Callithrix jacchus: one gene and its partner. The protein of the gene in region 1 purifies or fractionates together with the protein of each later gene. This does not show direct contact. Links are inferred from orthologs where the notes say so. Each region holds a gene or a part of one and is shown on either strand. Other genes may lie near its edges.

Region 1 (3,812 bases):
TTAATAAATGGTTATTACGTAGCAAATAAGTCAGCCGTGTACTGACTGTACCTCACAGGAACAAATTCACCAAATCTCTATCTTGTCTTCTTTGTAATAATGTTAAATATTAACATATCTCAGTTCTCAGGTGCAATTCCAGTAGCTACAGTGAGGCCATTGTTGCTCCTAAATCTCCACTTTCATTTGCCTTCACTGGTGCCACTGTCGCTGTCACTGTCACTGCTGCTGTCAGTATCATTGTTACTGGTGAATGCAGTTAGCTTGCCTAGGGCTCCCCTGTTAAGAAAAGAAACCAGAGAATCACACTGTAATTCAGTTGGGTGCTGGGGTTTCTGGTGTCTCTGATACTCACCTGTAGCCTATCAGTTTTGAAATCAGAAAAAGGGACCCTGTATTAGGAACAAAAAGGTTTCTAACAGTCAAATCTATAGGCTTTCCTGACTTGCATAACAAATGAAATCATTAAATTAATACACTGGCTTTTTGCAAGGAAATACGGGATAGTAAGCTATGAACATTTTGAATGGGCAGATGGATAAAAGGTCTGCTCCATTTTACAAACTTTCCTTCATGGTGAAGATACAGGACCCACTTACTTTTGTTCCTGGTTGATGGCAAAGTCAGTCATTACTCTCTGGGTGAGGCCCTCACAAATAGGTAAGCTGAAGGCACTTGCCAGCTCTACCACCTCAATGGCCTGGGAAGGGCTGTTAGACACTTTGGCACTGTCCATAAACTCATTCAGCAACTCATTACTGTAAAAGAAAGGCAAAGTGTGAACTTTCTCCAACCCCTTCGGTAAAACACTTATAGGTAAGATCCAATGTAAGTTCAGTAACAGAATTCCCAATAGTAAGTACCTCCATAGTGACGATTACATAAAGTCTAACATTTATTTTTATTTGTTTCCAGTGGGGTTAAGTCTAACTCTAAAGGGACAGGGATTATCAACATTCATTCAATATGACTTCATGATGATCTATTCAATCTAGCCCCAGCGTACTGTGATCCAAGAGCACAGATACAGAAACTGCTGGCCTCAGGATGCCTAGGATGGTGGGGAGTTGATGGCATGCTTGCCTGATAAAAGAGTGCCCAAATGTGGTGGCTAAGGCTGGTGAAGAAATTCCAAGTGTGACTACTTCCAGGCTGTACCCAAGGAGGAAAAGTTAATTTCAACTTACCTAGGGATCTTATTGTGCTTCCTGAAAAGCCCCAACACTTTCCTGCTCAAGATAGGAGAAAGATTATGAATACTGTTAGAAAAGGCAATCAGATGACTATAGCTGTCTTCCCTCTGAACTTAGAGACTAAATGTCTTTTTCTTAACTGTACTGTAAGCTCCCGAAGACGCACATCTGTGGGCTCTACTAGCTCCCAACCCTGTCTGTACATGAGAATCACCTCAGGTGCTTCAACTCCCCAAACGACATATATCGACACTGCAATTTTCGCAGATAAACCTGATATACACTGCCAATGTTGAGATTTGCTGATATAGATTGAATATACCTAATCCAAAAATGCTCCAAAATCTAAAAATCCCATACATTTCTGGTCTCAAGCATTTTGGAAAAGGGATACTCAAACTGTATTTGTCTTCTTGTAGAATAATTCATCCTGTGCACAGCTGGAAAAGAGGCATGGAACAGAACCACACTGTTTCCCTCTCTTAAAATGCTGCACAGGTTGTCTGTCTTAGAATTCTGTTATGAAGAGCAGGCTCAGATTGAGGCAACAGTCTCATGTAAGTGCTCCCCATCAGCCTGCCACATGCAGGACAAAGGAGAAACACATACACTCAGCTCCCATGAATCAGCTGAGGTCCGTACCCCTGCGCCAATCATCACAGCCTGGCCATATTAAGGCAGTTTGTGTGAGAAACTGCCTGAGCTAACAACCAAATGCAAACGTCAAATGTCTGTCACTAGCAGCATAGTTGCTAGAGAGGCATGTGTATGAGCCATACCTCAAAGACAAGCCTTCATTATCTTTTCCTGGAGATAGCTGACAATCAGATGTTCAAATAAAGTTACTTTCTTATACAAGGAGCCATGCACAAGCACCCCCACTCATGACTCCCCATCAGCCTGCCACATGCAGGACAAAGGAGAAACACATACACTCAGTTCCCATGAATCAGCTGAGGTCCATACCCCTGCGCCAATCATCACAGCCTGGCCATATTAAGGCTGAATGAAGTGCTGATAAAACATAACCAGAACAGTGGCACCAACCAAGAATGGGTTGTGGTCAAGGCCTAGTTAATGTGCATAATGCCGGCTTCCAGAAGTCTAAGTACGCAGCCCACATTTTAAGTTGGAGAGTGGGATGGCAGAAGCATCTGAAAATACTTCCACAACCCAAATGACCAGAACACTTTCAAAACTACGTTTCTTTGATCTTTGGTCCATTTAAGTGGAGTGATGAGATTAAGGGACTTACCTGTCCATAGACACAGAAAGCAGAAAGGGAAAGATAATTCTCAGCCTATGGTTTGAGAAAACCAGGCCTTCTCTCAAATACATCATGCACATTGCAAGCAAAAGTTTACTTTTTGGTTGGTATTTGCATGTTCCCATCAAATACATGTTATACGGCCAAATGAGAGAACCTCTACCAGCGTGGGTCAATGTTTAGAGCCAAATACAAATGCTTCAAAGTGTATACCTGTGGTACTGTACTCACCAGGCTTCCTGGGTTCTCCCAGCCCTTAAAAAGAGGACAGCTATACAGTTGAGAGAGACGGCTGGCCAATCCAGAGCAGTCTGTCTGACAGGTTGGCTTTCATATGTAGATTTGATATCAGCGGCACAGTCAGCAAAAGCTACCTGAAGCTAAGAAGCTTTAGGAGTCAGGAGAACTGCCTAATTGATTTTATGAGGATTTCAGTTCAGGAGACTACCACAGAACCCTTAAAATTTGAGCAATGCATTTTACCATTTGAATATGTTATGTGTATAGCACACAAGTAATTTAATAAAAAAGGACCCTGTTGTCCTGAATAAATATTTTGATTAGCCACACCTTTCAAATTCAGCTATGCATTTCCTCTGTAGATGGAATATTTTTAAAAAGCAAGCTGAAGACAAAACTTAATTTCACGTTGCTTGCTTTGGACTATAGTAAAGAGGTTAACTTTAAGAACAGTATTCTGCAAAGGGCAAGACTTGTTTAGATGTATCATCACTCAAATATGGGTTTGGGTGGCAAACTCTCCAAAATGGCAGATGAAACCAGGGAAGCTAGTCTTTAAAAGATCTCATTATGGGAGGATATACCGGCTGGTGAGTTTCAGGCCTACCTCTGGTGGGTGCTTATCTCTTGCCATGAGTATCAGGATCTCTTCTCTCAGGTCATTGCGGAAAGTGTGACCATATTCTTTACTATCTTGAAACAAGAAAGAAACAAGGATTAATCATTGTTATGTAAAACCAACACTCTCTTGTTTACTGTTAACTTTTTTTTTTTTTTTTTTTTGTGACGGAGTCTTGCACTGTCCTTTGGGCTGGAGTACAATGGCACAATCTCAGCTCACTGCAACCTCTGCCTTCCAGGTTCACGTGATTCTCCTGCCTCAGCCTCCTGAGTGACTGGGATTATTGGCACACACCACCACACTCAGCTAACTTTTTGTATTTTTAGTAGAAAACGGGGTTTCACTATGTTGGCCAAACTGGTCTTGAACTCCTGACCTCATGATCTACCTGCCTTGGTCTCCCAAAATGTTGGGAATACTGGTGTGAGCCACTGCACCTGGCCAAGCTGCTTTTATTCTAGGCTTTCCCAGGATTCCAGAAACCCAGCAG
Region 2 (4,492 bases), on another chromosome or scaffold:
TATATTTCCAATTAAATATACCTGTGACCCTGCCCACCTCTGCAACCCAATGCCACACTGGAGTCTTATTGAACTACTTGACTTGCATTTCCCGAGATCCCACCTCTTCTCGCCTGTACCCTGTGAGCGGAAAGTCAGCCCTCCACCTTCTCCCTGCTTCCACTCCCAAAATACTTCGTGCTTTTAATTTAATTTTATTTTTTTAAAGACGGGGTTTCACCATGTTGGTCAGGCTAGTTTTGAACTCCCGACCTCAGGTGATCCGCCCGCCTTGGCCTCCAAAGTGCTTGGATTACAGGCGTGAACCCACGCCCGGCCCAATATTTCGTGCTTTTGCAGCTCTCGAGTATTTCCAGTGCTAGCTGTTTAAATTCCTGCCGCCATCAGAAGGCAGAAACTGACTCGAGAACTATTCCATCCCCAGCCGATAGTAGACGCTTAAAAAAGAACGAAAGACGGTGGGTGGAGGACTTCAGTAACATCAGGTGGCAGCCTCAATTTTATCGTTTGTGAAACGTGGATAGTAATCCTTCTATCACATGGCTGTTGTCGGAATAAAATGGAAAAACCAAACAGGCTAGCTTGTTCAATAAATGTGAGTTGAATTAAATCTGATTTGTGGCCAGTAGAAAAAGACATGAACACTCGAAGACACTTCTTTTTAATACATGTGTATGCCTGGTAAAACGGATCAGAAGGCAGGTCCCCATGGAGCACACCCTCGCCTTAAACATGCTAAACGTGCTGAGCCCAGGCTGTCTGAGCCTGCGTGGTCCCTCCAAGGTGACTGCTCCGACAAAAGCGTAAGCTCCTCAAACGCATACGTTTAAGGCAATTCCAGAAACCATAGGCTGTGCCGCCACAACACGGCCATTAAAGAAAAGATGACTTTATGCCTGCAGTCATGTTCTCAGATCACAAGGACTGTATTTGGAGCAGAGAGGGAGGGAAGCCTTCTCTTTACGAAGGGCTAATGCGTAGTCGGGCCCCCCTCCAATCTCGGGTCCGGCCGGGTAATTCCTGCCCAGCATTCGGGCGTGCCTTTTCTTCAGCTGGGACACAACCCTGAACGTGGGGCTAGCCAGCCCGGCGGCTGCCTCGTGGAAATCACGTTCTCTCTGCCCGTCCTCTCGGGTACTCTATGGTTTTTGTGGCCGACTACTCTAATTCTAGTTCCGGTCTCTATGGCGGCCGGCGGAGGCAGGAACGGTTGTAGGTCGGCTGAATTAGCCGCCAAAGGGCCAATGAGAGTGGAGAACTGATAAAATATTATCCAGTAGAAGCCAGGAATTGGGGTCAGGTGGGCAGATTGACAGCAGCAGTGGCCAGTGAACAACGCCTAGGGCGGGTCGATCGTAGGGCTTATCCCGCCTGTCCCGCCATTCTCGCTAGTTCGATCGGTAGCGGGAGCGGAGAGCGGACCCCAGAGAGCCCTGAGCAGCCCCACCGCCGCCGCCGGCCTAGTTACCATCACATCCCGGGAGGAGCCGTAGCTGCCGTAGCCGGCCCCAGTCACCATCACCGCAACCATGAGCAGCGAGGCCGAGACCCAGCAGCCGCCCGCCGCCCCCCCCGCCGCCCCCGCCCTCAGCGCCGCCGACACCAAGCCCGGCACTACGGGCAGCGGCGCAGGGAGCGGTGGCCCGGGCGGCCTCACATCGGCGGCGCCTGCCGGCGGGGACAAGAAGGTCATCGGTGAGGGCCGGACGGGGACGGGTGTGGGGCCCTCGGGCAGCCTGGCAGCGGAACCGTTAGCCTGTGCAGGGCGAGCCGGCGGGCGCGCGGCCGGCGGGGACCGACTCCGCGGCGCGCGGCCGCCCCTCCCCCAGCACCCCCACTCATCCTCACGGGGGCCCGCCCGGCAGGCGCGCGCGCTCTGCCTCCTGCGCCCCCTGTGGACCCCGCGCGGACGCGCGCCCCTCCCCCTGCGGTCGCGCGCCCGCCAACCGCGTGTGCGACGGGGTCCCCTCCCCGCGACCGGCCTCGTGCGCTGTGGCCCGCACGCCGTTGTTCGCGTCTCCCCCACCCAGCTCCCTTCCGCGTGTGCTCAGAGGGCGCGGCGCACCGCCTACGCAGGCCGGAGTGGGCCGGGGCGGCTTCCCCTTCCCTCACGTGCTCTCCGCCCGCGGCCTGCGCACACACCCATTCTGGGCCCGCGCCCCGGGCCTGCCCTGGAGCGCCCCGCGGCTTCAGACTCACCCACGTGTGCGGCGGCGGCGGTGGTGGCGTGGCCCGGCACCCGGGAGGTGGAGAGAAAGGGCTGTCAGGTGGCCTAGCGGGCAGCGTCCTAGGGACCGGAGACCGAAGCCGGGCGGGTTTGGAAAAGGATAGGTGGTAATCGTGGCTTGTTTTGCTTTGTTTTCTTTTCCAGCAACGAAGGTTTTGGGAACAGTAAAATGGTTCAATGTAAGGAACGGATATGGTTTCATCAACAGGTGAGCTCCCGGACCCTGAAGCTTCCATCCCACTGTCTCGCTTGTTGCCTGCTCTGTCGGCTTCTTGGCGCTTGGGAAGCCCCGAAGGGCGTTTACTACCTCTGGTGTATTAGTGTGATTTTTTTTTTTTTTTTTTTTAATTCCTTGACGACTGGAGGGATTAGTGGATCTAGAGAAGGTCTTTGTTTTGCAGCTAAATGTTAATTTGAAGCCAACTTCAAAGGCTTTCTTACAGTACAAAGCAATTTAAAAGGCAAGCAAAGTGAATGAGCCATGCCTTAACAGGGTAAACGGGAAACTACGGTCCTGTACATTTTTATCCTTGTTATCCTTTTCTACTTGATTGAACTCGGTGTTTGAGAGAGTGATCCACTGACATCGGATATTTACACCTTGTTAACATTTTGGGGGTAAGATTTGACGTGCCAAGTATATGAGGTTTTGTCATCTTTACCGAGAGGTGTTGCCTTTTTCACCTTCATTGTAATACCTTAGATAAATTTTATATTAGCACCAGAGAGAAGCTGTTTTTATTTGCTCATAGAATAATGTATCTGCTAGAAAATGGTTCTTTGCTTTCTTCAGTTCTTATTTTTCATTCTTCCTTGTCCTAAAATCATACTGATTAAATCGATTTCTATTAGATTTCTGGCTATAGCTTAGAGTGGCCATAGTCCCTGGTAACTTGACATTGTTCTTGCTTGAAGGCAAAGCTGCAGGCTCCATCTTTAGGACTTACTTTCGGGTTGTTGCTGGTAATGTGCAGTACACTGGATTCCATGGGCTCCCTTGTGAGCCAGGCATCATTTTCAAGATGGCTGCCAAGGCTTAGTAGTGCAGTTTACATGAGTGTAGAGCCCTGGGTATGCCAATAGGAATCTTGGCCTTATAGGTATGGTACATAGTGCCATCTCAGCATTCTCTTACTGTAGAAGACCTAAGCAGATGATTAAAAGAACAATTAAGAATGTTTGTGGAGTGGACAACAAATGGACGAAATCAAGCTTAAGGACAGACAATCATAGCTTGATGAAAAACCGTTCGTTCATTAATCAATCATACATTATCGTGGAAACAGAGTAAGAGAGAAGCATTTGATGGTCTATTCTCTACTTTTGCAATTGTGGGAAAACGTTTTGTTTCTTCCAAAATCTTAGGATTTTCCAACCTTCTATACTGTTGCCACTGTTGTGGCTGTAACTATGTTTTTCATTAATTTTTTGATAATAGCTTATTAGCAAGGAAGGAGGGGAATGCTTATATATGATTGATATACTGATAGCTTTTTAACTGATCTTTCTGAACTTACTAGTGTTTTAGTTTGTGTTTCTGTCTTATTCTGAGTCTCCGAACTAGTCTAACCCTTCAACCAGTGTTTTTCAGATTTAAGTGTGCTTGCCTAGGTCTGGGTACATTTTTTAGCAAGAATAATGTGAGCCATACCTTCAAAATCACTGCTTTTAACCCTTGACCCAATGTAATGGTAACTTTGGTGTGCAGATTTGCAGCCTTTTCAGTGGGTAGATTGCAGTTTTGTATGTATGAAGTTTAGCGTGTGCCATGTTTCGCTACATTTTGTTGAGTGGCATAGGTTATCACATTTTTAAAAATCAAGTTTTATCCAAAATAAGAGTAATTCTTACAAGTATTTCATGAGGTGTCATTCATTGAATATCTCTGTTCTGAATTGGAATCAACTCAATTGGTCATCCTCCAGGGCAAATTGTGAATTGGCTTTTGATGGTCTTTTGTTTGGACTATCCTAACCTCAATTATTTTGTCAAATTGACTGGTTAAAATGTTCTTTATGCTTCTGAACTGGTTGTTTTAATGACTGACACTTTTTGATAAGATGCTGTAAAATCTGACTCCAATTAAATACAGGGAAGGTTTGCTTTAATTAAGGAAAGTATGTGTTAAATCAGTTTGGAAGCCAGCAGTTGGTTCTATATGTGGTTCATGTAGTAGAACAAATAGACTTGGCTGGAGGCACCTGGTTCTTAAGAGGGAAGGAGACAGACTGACACATTACGTGTGCTGTTTTCTATATAAAGGAG

Evidence for each region.
Region 2: the proteins of PTCD3 (region 1) and YBX1 purify together in Homo sapiens (co-immunoprecipitation; 4 studies listed by BioGRID and IntAct, with this or other methods). This does not show direct contact. The link is inferred for Callithrix jacchus from reciprocal best matches to the Homo sapiens genes PTCD3 and YBX1.

The regions. Positions count from the first base shown.
Region 1 is NC_133515.1:26,866,446-26,870,257, forward strand, and holds part of PTCD3 (small ribosomal subunit protein mS39), read right to left. Parts: intron 3,394-3,812; coding exon 3,308-3,393; intron 2,841-3,307; coding exon 2,692-2,840; intron 2,184-2,691; exon of another isoform or gene 2,063-2,183; intron 1,860-2,062; exon of another isoform or gene 1,723-1,859; intron 1,230-1,722; coding exon 1,188-1,229; intron 759-1,187; coding exon 600-758; intron 280-599; coding exon 183-279; 3' UTR 1-182. UniProt on the Homo sapiens protein: Mitochondrial RNA-binding protein that has a role in mitochondrial translation.
Region 2 is NC_133508.1:79,327,281-79,331,772, forward strand, and holds the start of YBX1 (Y-box-binding protein 1), read left to right. Parts: upstream 1-1,390; 5' UTR 1,391-1,529; coding exon 1,530-1,695; intron 1,696-2,371; coding exon 2,372-2,435; intron 2,436-4,492. UniProt on the Homo sapiens protein: DNA- and RNA-binding protein involved in various processes, such as translational repression, RNA stabilization, mRNA splicing, DNA repair and transcription regulation.